Rhinolophus ferrumequinum: one gene and its partners. The protein of the gene in region 3 interacts with the protein of the main gene of each other region in a pairwise test. Links are inferred from orthologs where the notes say so. Each region holds a gene or a part of one and is shown on either strand. Other genes may lie near its edges.

Region 1 (7,657 bases), on a different chromosome or scaffold from region 3:
CGCAACCCCAACATCAGGGCACCACTGCATCGAGCCTTTTATTAACCACCACTCAGATGGCTCAGTCAGTGCCCATTTTAGATATGGCCAAAGGGAAAGGGGCATCTACTTGCCAAAGGAGGGGGAGACACCAGCGGTTCTCAGAGTGGGTTTCCCAGAGCCCTTGGGGGCCACCCCTAGGACGGGCAGGGTCTGACCACCTGCAGGCTGCAGTGGAAGGCAGGACACTTTCAACTGTTGTGAGATTTCCACTGAAGAAAGTTTGGGGGCCAAACATGAATGTTGGGAGAAAACTGCCCAACCCCATGGAGGGAAGGACAGGACAGACTGGGACTCAGGCTCAGCAAAAGATTTTTAACAGCAAGTGGAGGCTTCAGGGTCACATGGCAGAATAGGGGTGCACCCCTAAATGAGTCCTGGCTGCACCCACTTCTCACCTCTCCACTGCCTCCGCCCTCGTCCCCTAGTCCCTCATGTCTGTCCTCCCCGCAGCAGCCACGAGAGGGCGCCTCTGAGCACCTGAGTCAGGTCCCACCCCTCCTTTGCCCACAGCCCTCCAGCGTCTCCACCATCCTCTGGGTTAAAGCCCAAATCCTCCACGAGGCCCTGCACGACCTGCCCTGTCCCCTGCCTGCCCTCACTTCCTCCCTGTCGCACTTGCTCACTCTGCTTCGCCCGCGCCCTCCCCTCGCATGGAATGCCCGTCCCCCCAGGTATCCACATGGCTGTTTCTTTGCTCTCATTCAGGCCTCAGCTCAAAAGTCTGCTCAGGAGGCCCTCCCAGAACACCCATTTAAACTAACTTCCCCATCCATCTGACTCTCCATCATCTTCATGCAGTTGCAATTAAGTATAATGATTTTTCTGGATGAATGGCTCTCTCCCAACCCCCAATCTTGGCTCACAGTAGGTACTCAGAACTTGTTTGTTGAATGAATAAACGATCTCTCAGTACCAGAGGGGCAGAGAGATCGCCTTCAAGGACGCCACTGTTTAGTCAGGGAAACAGGTCCAGAGAGAGACTGAGATATCCCAAGGTGACATAGTAGCTAGCACAGCAGCACCAGACCCTCTGGGGGTGGGGCTCCCCCAAGTGGACATTCCCCAACCTCTACCACCCCACTGGACAGAAGGGGAAACTGAAGCCTGGAGAACAGGGCTTCAGAAGATCTCAAGAACTCAGCCAGAGCTGCCTCTGTGAAAGCTCAGGAGGGTGGGATTCCAGAGGAAGTTGTCTTGTGGATGGGGTGTAGAGGATCCCAAGGGAGGTGTGCATACTGTGCACCTGGGCCAAGTCCTGCCAGCTCTGGGCCCCCACCTCTCCATCCTTAACACCTGGGGCTGCACCCAGACAAGCATGAATCATTATTCAGCATCTGACTTTGGGAGAAGGCTGTTTCCATGCCAACAGCTGGAGTTTTGTCCTAGGCATCTTCTCGTGACCCCATTTGACAGACAAGGACACTTGAAGACCCCTGAACCCACTTCCTCAGAATGCCAAGTAACCAAAAGGCCCCTCACCTGCCCAGGCCTCAGATGAGAAAACTGAGGCTCAGGGAACACCTGACATACTCAAGGCCACACAGCAGTAGGGGACAGCACAGGGCTTCAAATCTGCACCTACCTGACTAATCTCTTAGCTTAGGGACCTACTGTCCTGTCCCCCCACCCGACCCCACCCCACCCCCATCAGAGCAGGGTAGAGTCCCACACCTGCCCCCCAGGGATCTGGGGACTCACCCACCACTGGAGTCCCAGGCCACCAGAACTGCTAAGTGATAGAAGCACAGCCCAGGTGTTTGTGTGGCTGAGGCACAGCTCTTTGTTCCGGTTTCCATAGGTACAGCGTCCCTGGGCTGGCCCCTCCTCCGCCCCTCCCAGCCACCCAGCCCTTGCCTGGCATTCCCTTGGCCCGGCCCACCTCAGCAAGTTGTTATGTTTTAAAGTTGGCGCCTATGGGCCTGGCATGGCAATGGAGGAAACAGCCTGTGCAAAGGCCCTGAGGCAAGACCATGCCTGGTGTGTGAATGTGGAGGCTGCTGCAGCTAGAGCAGAGTGAGTGAGGGGGAGAGTAGGAGGAGTTGGGGGCCAGGAGGAGACAAGCAGGACCCACATACCTGCATTTAACCCTGGAAGCAGCCCTTATCCCCAGGGAGTTATGTCCCACCCCATTATACAGACTGGAAGCTGAGGCTGGGAGAATCCAATCATCCGTTCAAGGTACCATGGTGAGTGGCAGAGCGGGAACCCAGGTTTGTCTAATTTCAAAATCTGACCTCCCAACCACTTGCCAAACTACCCTCACTCAGCCGCAGCCCCTCAGGGCCTTCACCTTCCTCAGCTGGGCTCAGACATATTCAAGAGGCCTGTTTACATATGGGGCTGCACCCCCTCCAGAGGGCCCCCAGAATAGAAGAGGTAGTGATGTTTGCAGATATGGGACCGCTCACCCACCAATTACCTTAGCGGGTGACAGTCCCAGTTCACAGCTGGAAAAATTGAGGCCAAGGCTTCAGGCCACTGGGAAACTCCCAGATGGCCAGTCTGGGTGGGCTTGGCCTTGGCTCTCCCAACAGCCTGGACCAGCGGGAAGCCACACTCATTTCCACCTCCACACCTTTGGCCAGGCTGCCCACCACCTGAAATGCCCTCCTGACTCTGGAATCTGCCCTAGCACTTGGCGCCCTGCACGATGCAAGGAGCAGAGTCCATCCGAGTCCTCATGGTGGGGTGGGGGCAGTGGTCCCAGAAAACCGCCCCACGCCGGGGGGAGGGCATTTCAGACTCACTGTGCCTCCCCATAACCCATACAGCAAGAGAGTGCCATAGACACAGAGGGAAAGGGAGAAACAGAGGGCGAGGGCCAGGAAGAGGGAGAAGGAAATTCAGGCAGGAATTCAGACAGGGATGGGGAGGGAGTGGGGTTTGCAGGGGAATGGGGGGGCGGGAGAGAGACAGTGGGCGGCTAGGTGGCACCCGAGGTGCACCAGGCATCGCTCTGTCACCTGCTCTCCGGGGCCCGTCGTAGGTCCGACCTCCGAGGCTCCGTCCCGCCGCCTTCGAGGGGCCGTTGAGCCAGCCTCCTGACTTGCGCCTAATAACCGCGCGGGGCGGAGCGGGAAACTCAACCCCGCCCCACATCGCCCCGCCCCCACAGGGCCACGCCCCCCCGCTCTGCCCCCTCCCACGAAGAAAGGACCTAAGAGAAACCGGATGGTGAGGGGGTGGGCCGAAGACATGGTCTCAGCCAATGGTAGGGCGGGCGGTGTACGAAGAAGCCAATGGGAGGAGCTCATTGCCACGGGAGGGGGCGGGGCCTGGGACGGGCAGGCGGCTTGGGGGATTCCTCCGGAATATCGGAAGGGGCCGGATGCTGGGGGCGCGGCTGCTTTGGGGGCCCCGCTGAGAAAAGGGGAGGAAAAAGACAGAGTCGAAAACAGAGACCCGGGAGAAGAGAGGAAGGCTGAGCCAAAAAGAAAAACAGACCAACTTTGCGGTTTTGGACCGGCCCCCGATTCCCTCTGGGACTCAGTTTACCCACCTGAGTAACAGGAATTTGCGCAGAGCTTGTTTCTTAAAGTACGCCTGGGAACGCTTTACATCAGAAGCCCCTTAAAAATGCAGATTCCGCTACCCCCGGACGCGCTGAATCTGACCCAGAGTTGAAGATCAATCTTTCTTGGCTGCTGATAAATTCTTAGGATGAGGTTTTGAGGCAGTCGTTAAGTGGACAGGCCCTGGAGACCCCACCAGGGAAATCCCAGATCCATCCTCAATTTCCGTGGGAATAAGCCTCCTGGCCGCCAGCGGGTGGGGCCGCGGGGCCAGCTGGGCACCCCCCCCCCCCAGAGGATGCAGCTGTGAGTCCTGGGAACCGGGCCCAGGAGCGGCTCCCAGCCCCCCTGCCGCTCCGTTTCCTCCCCGCAACCCCAACCTGGGGGTCCCAGTTGCAGCTAGAGCCAGGGAAGGCCAGAGCAGGCTAGACAACAAATGTTTGGTCAATGCCTAGTCCTGTCCTGCGTGTGGGGGACACACAACCCTGGCACAGACCTCAGAAGGCAAAAATAAATGAAATGTCTCTTTATCCCATTTTGGAGGGGGAACTGAGGCCCAGAGAGGTGAAGTGAATTGCCTGGGGATATGCAGCACAAATGGCAGGGCCAGGATTCAAACCCAGGACTGCTTGGCCCACCTCCTTCCACCCACAGCTGCGTCCTACTCTCTCTAGTCCAGGGTTTCTCATCCTCAGCACTGTTGACCCTTGGGGCTGGTAATTCCTGCTTGTGGGGTAAGAGGGGCGTCCTGTGTACTGTGGGGTGTTGAGCAACGTCCCTGGCCTCCACCCACTCAATGCCCGAGTAGCCACCCCCACCCCAAGTCAGAACAACCAAAAATGTCTCTAGCCATTGCCAAGTATTCCCTGGGAAGCAGAATTGCCCCAGTTGAGACCTACTGTTATAGATCCATTTCTTCCTGCCCCCGAGCCCCAAATTATGGAGACCTCTTATTTGGATGATGGTAGCTAATGAGGGTCACAGAGGCGGAGGAAGCTGTTTTTAACACCTCGTCACACCAGAGCAGATTGTTCTGGTGAGTGCCCGGTGGGCATGGGCAGGCGTGGAGTGTGGCCCGGGCGGGTTCCATCCTGGCGTTGTCCGTATCTGCCTGCGTGTGTTCATCTCTCCGAGCCTGTTTTCCACACCTGTGACAGGAATAATAAACCCTACAGATCCACAAATAAGGCAATGAAGAAAAAGTGCCCGTGAGGATGTGAAGGAATTAGAACCTTTGAACGTTGATGGTGGGAATATAAATTGGTTCCACCTCTGTGGAAAAGTTCAGGGGTTCCTCAGAAAGCTGCTCATAGAATTACCACAGAACCCAGCAATTCCACTCCTAGGTATCTATCCACCCAATGGAGTGGAAACAGGGACTCAAACATATTTGTACAGCAATGTTGACAGCAGCGTCACAACAGCTAGGAGGTGGAAGCGACCCAAGTGCCATCCACAGATGATGGGTGAACACGGTGTGGTCCATCCAGACAATGGAATATTATTATTCAGACCTAAGAAGGAAGGAAATTCTGACACACATGGTACAACATGGATTAACCTTGAGGACATTATGCTCAGTGAAATAAACCAGACACAAAAGGACAAATACTGTGTGATTCTACTTATATAAGGTCCCTAGAGGAGTCGGATTCATAGGGACAGGAAGTAGATGGTGGGAGCCAAGGGCTGGGGGAGGGGTACGTGGGGACTTAGTGTTTCATGGGGACAGAGGTTCAGTTTGGGAAGATGAGAAAGTTCTGGAGATTGATGGTGGTGATGGTGATACAGCAGTGTGAATGTGCTTAATGCCACTGAGCTGTGTGCTTAGAAATGGTTAAAGTGGTAGACTTCATGTTACATATTTACCACAATTTTAGAAATGAGTAATTTAATATACCAAAACACTGAATTGTATACTTTAACTGAGTGGATTGAATGGGTGAATTATGTCTCAATAAACCTGGTTGGTTTTTTTTCAAGTGCCCAGCAGCACATCTGGTGATAATAGCAACAATGTGATAACTAGTATTTATTGAGCGCCTAATACGTGGCAGTCACCGTTAGCATTTTACATAAATTGACTCACTGAATCCTCTGTTAGCATTTTTACACTTTCTCAGTGATGCCGTTTGAGAAAGGCTTGACCAGCTGGCAGTTTTTACATAAATTAACTTACTGAGTCGTCACAGTGTAACCCTGGGATTACAAGTGTTCCACTTCACAGATGATGAAATTGAGGCTCAGAGGAAGCAAGTGACCTGTCCCAGGCCACTCAGCCAGGTCGCAACAGAGGTGATATTAGAACCTGGGACAGTCTGAGTGGGGTTGCCCCAGCTGTCCAGGGAGCTGAGGGGCTCCTGAGCCCAGTGAGGAACAGAGGCGCAGCTCGGAATTGGGGCTCAGCCTGGAGCCGGAGGCTCTATCCCGAGTGGGAGCTTAGCAGGTGTGGGGGCTGGATCCTGGTCCCCGAGGTCGTGGCTGCGCCGATTCCGGCCGTGACCGGCAGGGGGCATACTCTGCTCACAGGCGGGCGGGCAGCGCCTTCTATTTTCTGAATGTGTCGCCCCGCCGGGCGGGATCTGAGTGCGGCTTAGGGTGCCAGGTCCAAGTCACCCCAGAACCACCAAGCGTCACCTGCATCCCTGATTACAGACCTTACACCCCACCGAGCTGTGTGACACAGAGCAAATGACCCCCTTCTCTGGGCCTCTGCCGTGCGCAATGGGATTTCGGTGGTGGGGAGGAAGATGAGGAAAGAGAAAGCCTTTTCTCCAGGAGCCTCCGCGAACCCCTCGCTTGCCCGCTTACCCACTGCCCAGGCGGTTTGGGGGACTGGTGGTGGCGGTGACCAGAACACCCGCCTCCCATGCCTTAAGCTCAGGCGTAACTCCCACGTACCCGTGATCCACCTCTCCCCAGCCCATCTTGTCTATCAGGCGAGATCCTCCCAAGGCCATTTAAGAAGGAGAGTGGGTGGGCGGGCCCAGACGGGGACAGGATGAAGGGACGAAACTTGCTGGCGTCCCCACTGCAGGCCAAGCCTGGAGGGCTCTCGTAACTATACCAAGGGCCCCGAGGGTGGGGGACTGGCATCGTCTCAAGGTAATGGACTTGAGGTTAGGGTCACAGGGCCCTGGCGGGCGACACCCCCCCAGACAGGGAGGCAGAAGGAAGGTAGGCGGGAAGCTCCTAAAACAAATTCAGTCCTCTGCCTCCGTTGTACACACACACACACACACACACACACACCTCCCTTCCCGCTGAGGGAAGCAGCAAGTTGGCCCCAGCGGGAGGATGTATTTACAAGGGTCAGCCCTGCAGACGCCGGCTGGCTGGCTGCCTGCATGGGAGAGGTGGGCGTCTGCGCACAGAAACTCCTGGTGTGAATCTGTGTGCACACGTGTATGTGGGGGGGGTGTGGCTGGGGAGGGTTTTAGCCTTATCTGCTGCTGCCCTGAGGGTAGGGAGCCCCATGTCATTCCTGGCAGAAGGAATCTCCACTTTCTGGATGGAGCCTCAGTTGCTTCATCTATAAGATGGGTGCAGTCACAGCACCAGATTCAGAGATTTGTCCAACTCTGAGGACACAGTGGGCTCAGCAGAGGCCTGGCACACATGCACCGGCAGCCGCTTTAGGGCCATGATGGGGAACACGCAGGCGGCTGTGGGAGCTCAGACTAGGCACGTGACCACACCTGGGGGCCCAGGGAGGCTTCCAGGGGGAGGTGACAACTGAACGAAGACTTTAAGAAAGAGCAGGAGTCAACCATGGGAAGAAGCAGGAAGGAGGGTCCTTTTTATTCTTGGTTTGCTGACCTTGGGCAAATCACAGGTCCACTCTGAACCTGTGTTTCTTCATCTTTAAATCAGACTCATGATATCCACCTTAAGGGGCAGTTGCAAAGACTGGCTGAGGGGCTGCAGGAGAGTGTTAACCCATCAGGAGTGCCCAGCATGAGGACTGGTTAATATTATTTTGTGATTTTGTTGTTGTTGTTGTTCCCTGCCCTCAGGAGCTCCCAGGCTGTGGGAAGGAGGCATAAAGACACGTGAAAGGGCTGAAGTGAATAAAGGCACTCTGGCAGGAGCAAAGGTGCAGA
Region 2 (7,942 bases), on a different chromosome or scaffold from region 3:
TCCAATATACTGCATTGATTAGAGAACATCAACTATAAGTATAATTTTAATCCTATTTTCCATTAGTGTACTTGCTAATATTTTCTAACACCAAAGCTTAACAACCGTTTTTTGGGGGGAGTGGCTGCACTTGATGCCTCAGACCATCTCCGTATAGTTAATGCCCATGAACTCATCATTTTGTGACAGCAAAAAGTGGTATCATTTACAAAATTTAGAAATTTCAATGTTTATTCCCTTATCTGGATATAAATTGTAAAACTAGTACTAGCCCAAATCCAAAATTTATTCGGTGAGTCCTGTTACTCAAACTCTTCTACCCAGTGAAACATCTGCTGCAAAGCATTTAGCTTATCATTTACAGAACATCCCATGTCTTCCTTACCACATGCAGATTATTTTTTTGATAGGTTTTATTGCTAAGGCCTGATAAATGCTTTTGAAAGTCTTAGTAAATTACATTAATTGGCATTCCTAATAGACACATGAATAAACCTTCAAGAATAATGGTTCCTACTATTTATTTTCTGCCATGCACCAAATAATGTGCTAGGTTGTTTATGCTACTTTATTTAATCCTTAAAAGACCCTGAAATTTAGATATTAATATTATCATTTTACATATTAAAAAACCCGAGGCTGAGGGCTTAGAGAATGTTCCCAAAGTTACATTACATGTATAGTAGAGGCCAGAACTCACAAGTTTTTCCAAAGCCTCAGCATATTGGACTGGTATAATTACCCCTGTACATAAAGACAGAATGTTCCTTTCTCCCAGATTACACTGACGTTTATGCACCTGCTCTGTATCAAAGTCAGATCTCCCATTCTATAGTTTCTTTCCCTCACTGCATCCTTAAGAGTGAGGATATGAGAAATGAACCTATTATCAAGAATAATGGCTGGTTTTGTTTAAATAAATCTAAAAAGAGTTTGCCTGCTTCAACAAGAATAAAACTAAGGGCTGAAAACTGTTCTAATGTCTTCCACAGGACTAAGAGTATATTCAAAGATCTGGGTTTATTGTGGTTGTTATTGTTTTATTTTTGTTTATTTTCATTCTTGTAGATGGATCATCTGATTCTGAAGACACAATTCCTGCATTTTGAGAACTTTTATAAATGAAAAGCTCTAAAGCACCTGCAAAGTGCTTTTCAAAGGCTCCTTTTATTCACTTAATTTGGGGTTCATGGCCTTAAAGAGAGTATATACCCAAGTTACATAAAAACATATTTTGAGCAAATTTTTATAATCTTAAACCTTGTAATTTGAAAAATTAAGACTACTGCATACCTGATTAAAAAAAAAAAAAGAAAGAGGAGAGGAGATAATATTTGAGAGAAAGGCAGGGAGAAACCAGCTAAGAACTATAATACACTTTTATAAAATGGGACTGAAGAAGGAAAGAAACTGCATAGCCAGCACTAGGTATCTCACTATGGGGAGCTTTGGACAACAGAGTAGAGAGAAAAAGAATAATCAAGGGTCACTGTTTAAGATCTTCTGCTTGCAAATATCTCCTCCATTTATTCTATCAATTGGATATTAATTTTGCTTAATAAATCCCTTTATAAAATGTAAATACAGAGGGTGCCAAAAAATGTATACACATTTTAAGAAAGGAAAACTATTAAAATTGTAATACTTTATACTGATAACAAAAGATGAATACAAGTCACGTGTGACTTCTGCAATTACAAGAGGTGCTCAAAGTGGTTACCATCACCATCCAGTCACTTCTGATTATGGCGAAGTTCTGCTTGAGCAACGTTGAACAACTTGTCCACTTGTATAAATTTTTTTGGAACCTCTGGGACATCCTTGGAATGTTAGAAATCTATTGGTTCTTCATACCTTTACTGTGAGTTACTATAATTAGATTGTCTAGAACTTAAGTAAACTTTTGGGGGTTGTAAGTTTCAGTTGACGCATGGAATACTTCAGGATAAAACAATAAAGACCTGTATACGGTCTGAGGACAGAATAACTGTAAGAAAAGTGGAATGATGAGACACTAAGGAAGGGCAGAACTGGTGAAAGAAAGTGAAAAAATACTTACTTTACTAATTTTGCCATAGAAAAAATAGGTTATGATTCAATGATCTCAAAGTTTCCTTTCCACTCTATAATTTTATGAGGGCTATCATGCAAAGAATGAATGTTTTACATACCAAATCATAATATGCTATACTTTTCCTTCCTGTAGTGTATACCATCCAACCATTAAAGCAAAAGACCTCCCTTTTCTACCTCAACAACATAAAAGTGCATAATTTATCAAAACTCATTCCAGAGGACGACCAAAAGGAAATCAAAGGGAGAAATCATAGGGAGGTAAATATCTTTCCAATAAGGAAATCAATAACACACCCTCCAATACTTTGATAATCAATATTTGCTAATTTACTGAGTGAAATCAGGGGTCCAAAAGAGATACAGATTATTGAAATAGTTTAGAATCTCTCCCTAGGAACGCGCTAAGTAAGAACCCTCATTAGCCAGACACAGAAAAAGTGAAGGAGACACTATTTCCCCATCAGCCTCAAGGCATTTCCTTTCCCCTGCATAACGGCTCCGTCCTTTGCTCCCTTCCATTTGGCACCTTACTATTTTCCTTTCCACCTCTGCATCATCCATCAGTTACTACTGTCTTCAGTCACCCTTGGAGATCTCCACAAAGTTTCCCTTTCTTCCTGCTGGTTTCACTTATATCTCTCTGTCAGGGTTTTACCCACACCTGCTCAACTCCGGCTTTTTCCATCGACCCCCTAGGACTCCAGGTCCGGTAGTGGATCGCGCTGGGGACCCTATTCTCCCGCAGAATAAGGTGGGTCGATGGGAATACAACTCGGAGACTTTTGTGCCTCCACACACCCACACCCAGAGCTCCCCCTTTTCCACCGGGATGTCCACACTCACAGCGCACAGTGTGGAAGGCGCAGCGCGGTTGCTTCTCAAAACTGGCGCCTAACTTGAGAACCCGCTCGCGACTGTCGATATGCCAGGGTCCATTCATGGTTATCCTTCGGCTCCGATTTCGCCTCCGACTCTTCCTCCGTCAACTAGCGCTCCCTACCTTCTGCCACCTCAGCCTAAACCAGCTGCATTAGCAGCAGCGGGCGGAGCTACGACAGACTCCGCCCCGCCGCCCAACGCGCGCTCCCCCACCGGGCGCCTCTCGCGTGCTGATTGGCTGGCTGGAGAAGGACGCCCCGCCCCTTGGCTCCGAGCTCGTGGTCCCGCCTCCACGCCCCTTCCCGCGTTGCGACGCTGGCCGCGGGGAGAACGCCGCGCAACTGAGGTGCGTGGTGGGAGAAGGGTTCCTTGGTGGAGGAACGCTGTGCGAGAATGAGGTAACGGACCTGAGGTGGTGGCTGGGGACTGAGACGGCCTCGAGGTACCAAGAGGCCGGGATCCCGCACCTCTGGGCCAAGTGACCTGGAATGTAGGAGCTCTTACCGGGAGAATCGGCCTACTTCACGCTTTCTGTGGAGATCTAGTGTGGAAACTGAGGCCGGGGGAGGAGCGGATTCTGGGTCCAAGGCCTGGTAGCGCCAAAGCTGGGCCTAGAATCCGGAGTACAGGAGCCCCGCGGCCTCAGAGCCTGGGTCTTTGGACCTGCCTGGAAGGTGACGCCGTTACCTAGGCAATCGTTTTCAGACCTGTTCTAGGGGAAGTTCCAGGTACTATTAGGACCGACAAGGTCAGGGCACGTGGAGGGTGGGGCAAAAAAGATTAGAAGTTACGAACTTCACATGTTTAGGATCAGTTGCAACTAGATTGCATTGTGTTGTCTTATTTCTTTCTTTCACAGTGATCCGTGGAAGCAGTAACTACACGGCCAGAAGACCAGATTCCCAAAGTATCAAGGCCGGAGCTCGTGCTCTGGAAAACAGGGTAATAGTATTAGTAATTGAAAAATAATTGTATTTTTTTCCTGTCAAAAATTCATGAGTTTAATGGTAAAGATGAGAGAAGTGTTGTATCAGAGGACAGTCACTCTAAAGGAAGTTTACAAATGGTTACCATAACGGGTGGTTGTTTTTCAGCATAATTATGTAATCAAACTCTTCTCCCTTACTGAACTTCTACTTTAGCCAAACTTACCAATTTATTCCAGGCAGGTAGATGAATGTGTCTCCCGTAACCTGCTTGTTCAAATTCGACCCTTTTAAGGCGTACTAAGGGTGTTTCATGGGGCAGTTAAGCGCTCAGATTCTGGAGCAAGAATCTTTGGGTTTGAACTCCCGCTTCATATTTTATAGTATGACATTGTGCAAACCAAAGTTAAGTATGCTCATCAGTTGTAATTGGAAGGGAAATAATAATAGTACTTACACCTTAGAGTCGTTGAATTAAATGAGTTAATACATAAAAGCATTTAAAACAATTCATGGCATATAATAAAAGCTCTCCAAATGGTTATTATTCTTGAGTTTTAACTCTACTGTCATGCAACATTTTAGGACCATCCTTGGTGCCTGCCTTTTATTCTAAATCTTGAATTATTCTATTATCTAGGAAGTAGGAATTGCTTTTTTGTTTACTTTACAGATGAGAAAACTGGTTCAAGGAAGCCCAATCCTCTGACTCTATGGTCTGTAGTCTTAACTTCTGTGTCATCTATTTGGCCTAACATATTTTGTATAATTAAGTATTTTATTTTACATATACATATTTGTGTGTGTGTATACTTTTCCTTCCCAACCAGACCATTAACAGGGAGTGTGTCCTATATAAAATCTTTGTGACCATTGCATCTACCATAGTGCTCCACACATGTTTGGTGATGATAATAATGTTTCAGTGATGTTTTATTGTGGTACCCAGAAGGCAAGGACAATGTTTTAAGCCTATTTTACCTAAACAAGGCTTCCTACCAGAAATCTGTGGTTTACATTTTATAACAAGAAGAAGAGCAGAAGGTCAAGAAATTGAGTTTAGGAATACCCAAAGTTTGTACATTTATTCATTTTTTTCAACATATATTTATTAAGTACCTACCTACCGTATGCAGGCACTAGTCTAGCCTATGGGGATATAGCAGTGAACCAGAGAGAAGAAGGCAGCCATCAAGGGTAGTCTGAGTTTCGCCTTCATGAAGCTTACCTTTTAGTGTGAACTTTTTCAAACATGTATTAAAATGTGTACTAGCCTAGGAATAAGCAAATAGATTAATGAACTAAATAGAATCCAAAAATATACCCAGGTGGCACTTCAGATTGCTTCTGTTATATCTATTCATCATTAATTACCTCAGGAATTTATGACAGCTATGTGCATTTGTTCTTTTTTCACTAATCTATAACCTCATCTAACTTAAAAATTTTAGATTCCTATCTTACACCATTCACAAAAATATCTTACAAGTGTATTGAAGACATAAATAAAGATATAAGTTAAATAAGATATAAATAAAACAGAACCATAAAACACTAGGAAAAATTAGGAGAATAAATTTTAGCTCTTGAGGTAAGTAGGACCTTTCTAAGCATGACACCAATGGCAGAAGCCATAGAGGGGAAGATTGTTATACTTGCCTACATAAAAATTGTAAAACTATGGTGTAGGCACCATAATCAAACTTTGAAAAATAAATGGCAGACAAGAAGAAAGTGGCTTACAGTCAATATAAAAGATAAAGTGTTCTTAAAGCTTCTGCAAAAGAATAAGACAAGTCAATAGAAAAGTAGTTGAGGGATACAAACAGAAGATACATAAAAGAAGAAATAGCAGTGGATATGAAATGTGCCTAACCTTCCTAATAAATGAATACAGATTTAAAAAGATAATACCATTTTTCATCTAGCAAATTGGCAAAAATATAAAAGATAATGATGTATTAGTAAAGGTATAGTAAGTGAGCACCCTTGTACATTATCGGTGGAAGTATAAATCGGGACACCCATTTTGAAGAAAAATTTGGGATCATATCAAAATTTAAAAAATATGTATCTTGCAACCCAGCCATCCACCTTTCAGGAAAATTGATCCTACAGAGTACTAGCATGTGTGCATAAGGACATTTTACATTGCTGTTCGTTGCATCATTGTTTATCATAGCATACACTCTGAATAACTTACAATAGAGAGGATGTTTACATATACAGTAGTCTCCCCTTATCGATGGGGGATGTATTCCAAGACCCTCCATGTATGCCTGCAACCATAGATAGTGCTGAACCCTAAATAGGTATACTATATTTTTTCCTATACATACATACCTATGATAAAGTTTAATGTATAAATTAAGTACAATAAGAGATTAACAATAACTAATAATAAAATAGAACAATTATAACAATGTATTGTAATGTTATATGAATGTGGTCTCTCAAAACATTTTACTGTACTGTACTCATCTTTTCACTTAAAGGAAGCACTTTACAGCTTCTCTTGGACATATCTCAATTGGCCAACATCACCACTCTTGTGCTTTGGGGCCATTATTAAGTAAAATAAAGGTTACTTGAACACAAGCACTGCAGTACCATGCCGGTCAATCTAATCACTGAATAGGCTACTAGTAAGTGACTGACGGGCAGGAAGCATGGAGACTCTGGACAAAAGGGATGATTACATCCAGAGCAAGAGGGAGAGGGACAGTATAAGAATTCATTATGCTACTCAGAATGGTGTTGCAACTTAAAAATTATGAATTGTTTATTTCTGGAATTTTCTATTTAATATTTTTGGAACATGGTTGACTGTGGGTAACTGAAACCATGGAAGGTGAAACTGCGGATAAGGAAGGGGGGACTACTGTGTTTTGACGTACTCTTACAAAGGAAGCATTGCATAATGCAGCCATCGGAAAGAATAAAATACCTCTGTAGCTACACCTTTGGAAAGTTTTATCTCTGCTGTGTGCCAGGATGTGCTGGGATTTCTTTAAAATATTTCCAGATTTTTTTTTTTTAATGATTTGTATTTTACCTAATAAGGGATGCTTTTTGGATGTCTTTTATTATGGCCAACTTTTCAATATAAAGGATGGGAAGTTACGAAGAATAATAGTTAAAAAAGTGAGTTAGAAGTAGGTAATTTTGGAATATGTTTTGTGGTTTTTATGTTTTACATGGGAAGGAATATTAGGAACATTGTAATTAAAACCACAGACTTTGGAGTTAGACTGATCTGGATTTGAATGCTGACTCTACCACATCATGGTGGAACCATGTCCAGTTTAAATTCTTCAAGCTTGATTTTTCTCATCTGTAAAATGGAGATGATTACAGGCTCTACCTTGTAGTCCTGTTGTGAAGATTAAATATGGTAATGCTTATAAAAGTACTTAGCACAGTGCTTAGTTCATAGTAAACACTTAATATATGTTAGCTTTTGTTAATTATTACTAAGTAAAGAGTATACTTTTTTAAAAATATGATATCTTTGATCTTTGAATACCTTAAAACTTTTTTATAAAGGTAATTTTAGAAACAAATTGAATTAGGATGTGGATTTTTTTAATTTTAAGATTATTGATTTTATTCAGTATGCTATTTATAAAGAAGCTTTGGCTATCTTATAATTACATAACGTTTCTGAGTTGTGTGTTGGGGATCCCCAAGACCAACCCCAGGTTCAGTGATTTGCTAGGAGGGCTCACACTTCTTAAGGTATAGTCATATTCATGGCTGTGATTTATTATAGTGATGAAAAGATGCAAAGCAAAATCAACAAAAGGAAAAGACCATGGGACGAAATCCAGAGGAAAACAGGTGCAAACTTCCAAAAGTCCTCTCTTAGTAGATTCACATAGGACATTCTTAATTTCTCCTGCAATGAGTTATGACAACATACTGAAGTGTTCTCTACCAGGGAAGCTCACTAGAGACTTAGTGACTAGAGTCTTTATTGGAGGATGGTTGTGTAGGCATCCTCTGCTGTCATGTACCAGAATTCCAAACTTCAGAAAGGAAAGCAGTCGTTCAGCATAAAT
Region 3 (7,466 bases):
GCATTTCTCAATCAGCAGCCGGATCTCAGGTTTCACTTTCTCAATAATGTCGACCAGCTGCTGGTTGCTTTTTAGCATCCCATTGGGCATCACAAACACCTTGGTTCCTGGCAGGGACATGAAGAAGGCCAAATGATTGGGGTGGGGGGCAGGACATAGCACCCCCCGACCTTTCTTTCTCCCCAGGCCCATGAGATGCCATGACCTCTGCCTTTTATCTGTCACAACCCTATCTACAAACCATGACACCACCAACAGAATCAAAAAGAGAAAACGTATGGATTAACAAATGAATGTCTCAAGTATGCTCAAAGTCTGAAGAATAAGGAAATTAAAATATGCTCTAAAGACTTAATGTGCCAACTATTAAATTGAAAAGGAAAAAAATAACACAAACTGGGACTTCTGTGAAAAATCTGCAACGTGTAGCCACCCTCAACCTCTCTTCTTTGGCAGTTCAAGGTCAAACCCTCCGTTTACCGGAAAATTAGATTGAGAGTGCTAAATCATGACCATGTTTGGAAGACTCGGGAATGGGATCTCTGGGAAATAAAATCAGATCCTGCTTCCAGGCCAGGAGAACACCAGCTCCATCCTGCTTCTCAAAGCTGCAAGCCAGGGAGTGGGTGGGGTGAGGCAGGATGGCTCTTACCTTGCAAGGCCTCTTCACACTCATCCAACCTTCGCTTCTTGTAAGTGGGCTAAGGATGTAAAGAGACAGGAATTAGGCTGCTCGCAACACTTACATGCCTATCACAAGTTACTCTTCAAGCAAGTTTAATCCTTTCTGTGACGCCACAGTTATTAATTTAGGTACAACTTACTAAGCATATACAAGGCTTTAAGAAAAGGTTCTTGCCGCAAAGCAACTTACGTTCTCACTGGTAAAACCAACCTTTCAAGAAATATTACCATATTAAGAAATTAGAGGAGATGGGTGGATACTATAAACAATAGGAAAAAATAACTAGTCAATGTAGGGTAAATAAAATTAAGGGAATATGTACAAATCTGCTGGTTCCACAAGGAAACATAATAATCAACGAACACGTATTTAGCCCCTGCTATGTACTAGGAACAATGCTAAGTGCTGGGGATACAAAGATGATTAAGTCAGTTTCTGCTTTCCAGAATTGCAAGTCCTACCAGTGAGACAAAAATGCAGACAAAGAACAATACAGTGTCATCGGTGTTACAGAATGTGGACATATAACTAACTGATAAAGACTAGGCACTAAAGATGTACAGTAAAGATAGTGACTACAGTTATACACCAAAAAAAACTACTGATCCCATAACAAGACTCAAGACATTGAAACAGATACAAAGTCTTGCTTAGAGCCATGAGGACAGACCAGATAACCTGAGGGAACCGGTAGCTATCAGTCCTACTTGAAACTCACGCTAACACAGAGTAGCATTAGCAAATTCACCCCATGCTATAAATGAAAATCAGGGTCTAAAGGGGGTGTATTGGAGTCATCATGTCTGTGAAAGTCCTCATTCCCAGATCCAAATCCCACTGTCTCCTTTGTACATGTTCAAACTGACCAAGAAATAGAGGACAGAAAATCTATTGCTTCAGAACACAAAGATAAATATAGGACACTTACACCGTCCAGTCCATCATGGCTATTGGTGAGAAGAATGGGGTCAGGGACGGGGAGATTCATATCTGAGTGGATCTGAGTTAGGTCATGGATGTTTAGGATTTGTTCCTAAAAGAGAGAAGCCCACCCCCCAAAAAAAACATTAGTCTTTTCAAGATGAACAAAGAACGTGAAGGGCAAGAAATGAGAGAGCTTTACAGTACAAAGCAAACAGAATCAATACATGATTTGTCCCATTTGACAGAAGGACCAGGGCCAAAATAATTGGGGAATCTGCAGAAAAGAAAAAGGTCTCTCACCTTCAAAAAACTATCAAGTTCTAACAACTTCTTTGGGAAAAAATTTGCCACCAAGTCTTCTGCCTAAAGATGAGGGAAAATACATTAATAATTGTGGGATGGTCTCTCTCTAGTCATCTCTCCTTTGGGAAACTCCCAATTATTCTATTTATTTCACTCACCTCACTTGTGATCCGCTCCCTGAAAGAATCAACCTAAAATTAACAAAGAGCAATTCAGTAACAGAAAGTCGGTACCTGGCAAGAGGTATGGGCTGGGTAGGGAAACCCAAATCTAGCTGTCTTTCCCTCACCTTGTTATTGTAATGAGAAGCTGCGAGGCCCCCAGATTGCAAATACTTTATTTTTTTGAGGACCCATTTCTCCATCTCAGGAGAGGGAAGCAGGGCTTGAGGTCAACACCTGCCGGTCTTCCCTCCCTCCCTCCCTGTGTCTGAGGCTGTCTGAGTTTGAGAGCAGACAAAAGACAAGTAGATAGGGGAGGTGTGAACTCATAAACGTGCCAACCCCCATCCAGCCCCAGCCTATGACATGATGTAGGACTGACGCCAATGGCAGGGGCAGCGGCGGCCTCCGGAGGCGGGGATGTTGCGGGCTGGGAACATCCAGCTGTCACTAGCATAAAGCACTGAGTCGACCACGTGTCTGCGGAAGTCTCCCCGGGGCTCTCCATCACCAAACGAGGTACTGAGGGCCACCCTATATTATCCTCTCCCCCGAAGCCATCTCGGGAGTGGGGGGCTGGGCTGAGCCTAGCGGAAGCTCAGAGCTGGTGTCCCCAGAGAGACAAAGACGCCACGGGGTGTGGGGAGCCGGTCAGATTGCTCGGGGATCGAAGCAAGGGGTACGGAGGCCCAGACCGGTGCCGCTACCTTGAGCTTTACTTCCTGATCCACCTTCAGCAGCGAGGCCATGGCCGGGCCGGGCCGTGTCCGCTCCGCTGGAGACCGGAGGCGCTGTGGGCTCCGGGGAGGGGGTCAGAGAGACGGGAGGAATCTCGGCTGCTCTTGGGACGCGTCCGCCCTCGCTGGCTCACTCACTGTTCGCTCGCTCCCCCCCTCTGCCGTCTGCCCGCCTGCCTGGGGCCAGCTGCCTGCTGCCTGCTCCCTCTTGCTCGCCCTCCCGGCTTTCGCTGCTCACGACGGAAGTTACGTCACAGCCAATAGCCGGGACTCCGGGGAGGATGCGCACGTGCTCTGCGCAGCCGCGCTGAAGGTAGGTGCTGGACTCTCCCGCCCGGCTTACATCTCCCGGGATCTTGTGCCTGGTAAGGGGGCAGTAAGAGGAAGGGTGGTGGAGACTGATTTACTGAGAATTGAGTCTCAGAGAGACTCGGGAACTGTTTGACTCTCCGTTAGCCCGGCACTCGTCTTCATCGAAGAGACCTTAGCCGCTGCCTCTTCGAGGGCAGGACCGACGACGCCGTCGCGCCCCAGTGACGTCAGACCCAGGAAGCCGGCGGTCCCGGCGCTGGCTTCGCGGGGTCTCGCCTGTGATTCCTGCTGCCGCCTCTCGTTAGCCTTAGCTCTAGTGTTAGGCTAGGCTAGAGCCAAGCAGAAGACGAGCTGTGTTGTACCAGGCTTCCCCACCTTCCTCCGCCACTTATTCTCATACACTTTCAGACCTCTGAAATCAACTGCCTCGTGAGCAAATTGACACCCGGAGTCGTGTAGGCTACACAGTGATTCCAGTAAATCCTGGACCAGATACCCTGGTCTCCTGACTTCTAGGACAATCCTGTATCCATTTTCCTAGAGGAAGGCAGAAACTCTGTCTCTTCACTCACCCATTCATTCGGTCTGTCTCTTAACATTGATTACTCCGCTCAATAAAATGGGCCAGGACACTGCTAGGCTCTGGGACAATACTGCCTTAGAGTCTAGAAATTTAACGTGAGTCACTTATGTAAGTTAAAATTTTCTAGGAACCACACTAAAAAGTAAACAAGTGAAATTAATTGTAATCATGTTTAATCCAATTTATCCAAATATCATTTCAAGGTGTAATCAACATAAAACTATTAATGAGATAATGTACATTCTTTTTTGATACTGAGTCTTTTGAAATCTGGTATGAATTTTATACTTCATTGCGCATCTCAATTCAGAAGTGCCACATTTGCAGTACTGAATAGCCATATGTGACTAGTGCCTTGTGTATTGAACAGCACAGCTCTGGGAAATCAAAGGTAAACAAAACTCAAGTTCTCCGGTCTCATGGGGCTTAATCCTGGGGAAGGACACCAGAAAGTAAACTGACGACATAATTACAAAATTTGGTAAGCGTTAGGAAACAAATGACTGATGTAGAAAATATACCAGGGGTCTATTTTAGATAGAATGGCCAAGGAAGGCCTCTCAGATGAAGTGACAATGATGCTGAGGTCTAAAGGATATAAAGGGGTTAGCGTGGGAAGAGTGAGCGGATGAGCCTTCAAGGGTATATGTGCAGCACAGGCAAATACTTGAAAAGGGTCCTATTGAAGAAATGGAAAAACTAGTGAACTTGGGATAGTAGGGAGAAGGGGGTGGGGAGGGTTATTAGGAAACAATTGGGATTAAGTGCAAAGGCAGGTCAGGTCATCTGATTTACATTTTGGGGTCACCGTTGCTGCCGAACATTTATCCTGGGCAGGCCTCTGTGCTAAGTGCCAGGGAAATGGTGGGAATACATAGTTAAATGAAGTGCAACTGACTATGTCCTTTGGGATCCGAGAGACATGGCTTCAAATCCCACCTCAGCTCTTTACTAATTGTGATGGCTTGGTAAAATTACTGAAATGCTGAGTGTCAGTTCCCTCATCTGTCAAGTGGAATTTCAATCATTAATAAATAATGTGTAATTCTTTAAGGTTGTCGTGTTGGAAATCATACATATGTAAAAGAACTAGTGCAGTACCAGGACACAAGGCAGGTACTAGATACATAGTAGCCATTATCAGATAAGTTACCTGTTAATGCTTAGCATGAAGAGGTTACCCCTTAAACTATATAATTATCATCCCTGCTTTCAGACTCAAAAGTGCTTTTCCAGTTGTTCAAGGCTACATACAACATAGCCATTATTACCTATGTGGCTTATTAACATCTAACGTTTTCCCCTTTTTCCTCTTTTTTCTATAACACTTGTCCCTAGTAATTTTTAAATTCTGATCTGGAACCTCAGGAATGCTTTCCCAAATTAACTTCACCCTATTTTAAGTATGCCATTATCCTGCATTTCTTTCAGCATTAATAACTTCAACTTGAAAACTTACTGTTTGTGCTTGTTGAAATATGGCTTTGTTCTCAGATAATTGTGTTTTGTCTTCTTCAAGTAGGTTGTAATAAGACACACATTCCTTCTCTCTTTCCCTACCTCCTCCCTTATCCAAATGTTTTATATAATACTCTACTCGTTTGTTTATTTATTCAGTTGAATAAACAATTGCTGAAGGCACCGCTATATGTAACAAATTCTGTTCATTTCTGGGTACTTATGAATCAAACGTGATCACTGAGAACTGGTCTCACTTTAAATTCATGTCCACAAATCTCAAATGGGTGCACAACACTACCCGAGATCCTACTACATGCCTCTGACAAGTTTACTCTTCCGCACTCTGAATGTCTATCATAACTTCTCATCGCCCTAAACCTCCAATAGCCCTCCTCTCCCACCTCCAATTTATGGTCTTGACTTATTCTTCACTGAGAAAACAGAAGCAAATGAGCACTGCATTTCACCACCAAATCTGCCAGCCTGCAAATGCTTTCTGCCTTTCCTCCTCTCGTTGAAGGAAACATCCCATTCCCATCAAAAAAACCAACTCTTCATTTTGTGCGTTGGAACACATCCCCTTTCACTTTCTCAAGATCTGTGCTTCAGTGATTACCCATTTTTCCTGTATTACATTTATCTCTGTCAACTGGACCTCATCCAAACATGATAAATATCTCCCATCTTGAGAAAAACCCTCCCTTGAACACAGATTCCTCTCGCTATCACTCTGTTTCTGTGCTCTGCTTTATGGCAAGACTTCTTGAATGATACTATTGTCTCATGCTACTTCCTCATCTCCCATTTACTCCACTCCAATCAGGCGTTCCCATTCCATGTTATCACTGAGATAGTTCTGGTTAGGTTACCAATGACTTCCATATTGACAGCACCAGGGGTCACTTCTCCATCTTTCTTGAATCTTTCAGTACTCAACACCTGTAGGCTGGTGGTCCTAAATTTATTTCTCCATTCCTTACATCTAACAGCTCCAGTTGTCTACTTGACATCTCTACTTGGATAGCTAATGGGCATCTCAAACTTAATATGGCCAAAACAGAATTCTCAGTTCTCCCACATACCTCTTTCTTTCCTGCTCTTTCCCATCTCAGTAACTGACATGACTGTCCACCTAGTTACTCAGACATCTAATTATCAACCTTGATTCCTCTCTTTTCCTCATCTCCCCACATTCAACCATTAGCAGTTCCTGTGAGCTTTACCTGTATAATGAATCCTGTATGAGTATGCTTTTCTCCATCTCCTCACTTGTTATCCTACTCAAAGCCATTGTCATCCTTTGCTAACACTATTACAATGGACAATCGAGTCTCCATTTTCACTCTTGCCACCACCCCCACTGATACATTCTATTCTCTGCTCACACCCAAATTATCTTTTAATATGTCAACCATAGTTATGGTAGTATCTACTAAAACAATAAATATATAGATACATATTTCTATATATATATGTGACTCAGAAATCCGAACTCTAGAAACATACCCAACAGAAATGCATAAATATATTCACCAAGAACACAAACAAGAATGTTAATAACACCACTATTCACAATAGCCTCAACTGACAACTGTCGACGAGGGTTGTGGGGAGCGAGGAGGGTGGCGCAGGGTTAAGAAAAGACTAGCCATGAATAGAGTGTAAGTGTGGCCAAGGAACTCCAGCCTCAAGGACTGGGCCCCGAATGGGGCAAACGCCTAGTTTTTATTACTTAGGTGGGGAAGTAAAGGAGATAAAGCTTGTCAATCTCAAGATCTGTGAATCCCACACATCACAGCAGGAAACTGATTCAAGCCAATCACCCCTGCCTGCAGGCAGCTGAACTTTAAGTCTCAGGAAGTATGTACTTCCCCAAGGGACAAAATCTTTATGCATATGAATAGATGGAGAGCACACCATTGAATCTCTTCCCTTGCAGGTTGTGGGAAGGAATGCAGCCACAGAGGCAGAGGCTCTCCGTGGGGGGGGGGGGGGGGTAGGGGATGTGCCCTCCTCTATGAACCCCGTGGGTTCTCCTGTTGGTCCCCACTCGACTGCGCCTGGCTTCAGTTGTCCGCCCCCCGCACCCCCCCCATGGGGAATCTTACTCATCATTGGCTGACGAGCCATCTTTTTGGGGCCAAACAGGGAGACATAAGGTGCAAGCACAAAGGTGAAGCAAAGTCCCTGAAAGGATCTGGCTCACAGACTCTCCTTTCTTTAGGGGCAGGTACATGGGGACAGACGGGTAGGCTGCTGTGTGGCAACAGGCAACTACTCAAATGTCTCTCAAGAGTAGG

Evidence for each region. The genes of interacting proteins can lie anywhere in the genome.
Region 1: the proteins of PSME3 (region 3) and TNFAIP8L1 interact in binary tests that used the Homo sapiens proteins (3 or more experiments, as listed by UniProt). The two-hybrid records come from large-scale screens. The link is inferred for Rhinolophus ferrumequinum from reciprocal best matches to the Homo sapiens genes PSME3 and TNFAIP8L1.
Region 2: the proteins of PSME3 (region 3) and EAF2 interact in binary tests that used the Homo sapiens proteins (3 or more experiments, as listed by UniProt). The two-hybrid records come from large-scale screens. The link is inferred for Rhinolophus ferrumequinum from reciprocal best matches to the Homo sapiens genes PSME3 and EAF2.

Annotation. Positions count from the first base shown.
Region 1 is NC_046301.1:59,152,951-59,160,607, forward strand, and holds the start of TNFAIP8L1 (tumor necrosis factor alpha-induced protein 8-like protein 1), read right to left. Parts: upstream 3,093-7,657; 5' UTR 3,006-3,092; intron 1,825-3,005; exon of another isoform or gene 1,741-1,824; intron 1-1,740. UniProt on the Homo sapiens protein: Acts as a negative regulator of mTOR activity.
Region 2 is NC_046285.1:46,765,494-46,773,435, reverse strand, and holds the start of EAF2 (ELL-associated factor 2), read right to left. Parts: upstream 3,093-7,942; 5' UTR 3,017-3,092; coding exon 2,920-3,016; intron 1-2,919. UniProt on the Homo sapiens protein: Acts as a transcriptional transactivator of TCEA1 elongation activity. Acts as a transcriptional transactivator of ELL and ELL2 elongation activities. Potent inducer of apoptosis in prostatic and non-prostatic cell lines.
Region 3 is NC_046304.1:38,472,035-38,479,500, reverse strand, and holds the start of PSME3 (proteasome activator complex subunit 3), read right to left. Parts: upstream 3,051-7,466; 5' UTR 2,823-3,050; coding exon 2,781-2,822; intron 2,104-2,780; coding exon 2,071-2,103; intron 1,973-2,070; coding exon 1,910-1,972; intron 1,719-1,909; coding exon 1,614-1,718; intron 702-1,613; coding exon 653-701; intron 108-652; coding exon 1-107. UniProt on the Homo sapiens protein: Subunit of the 11S REG-gamma (also called PA28-gamma) proteasome regulator, a doughnut-shaped homoheptamer which associates with the proteasome. 11S REG-gamma activates the trypsin-like catalytic subunit of the proteasome but inhibits the chymotrypsin-like and postglutamyl-preferring (PGPH) subunits.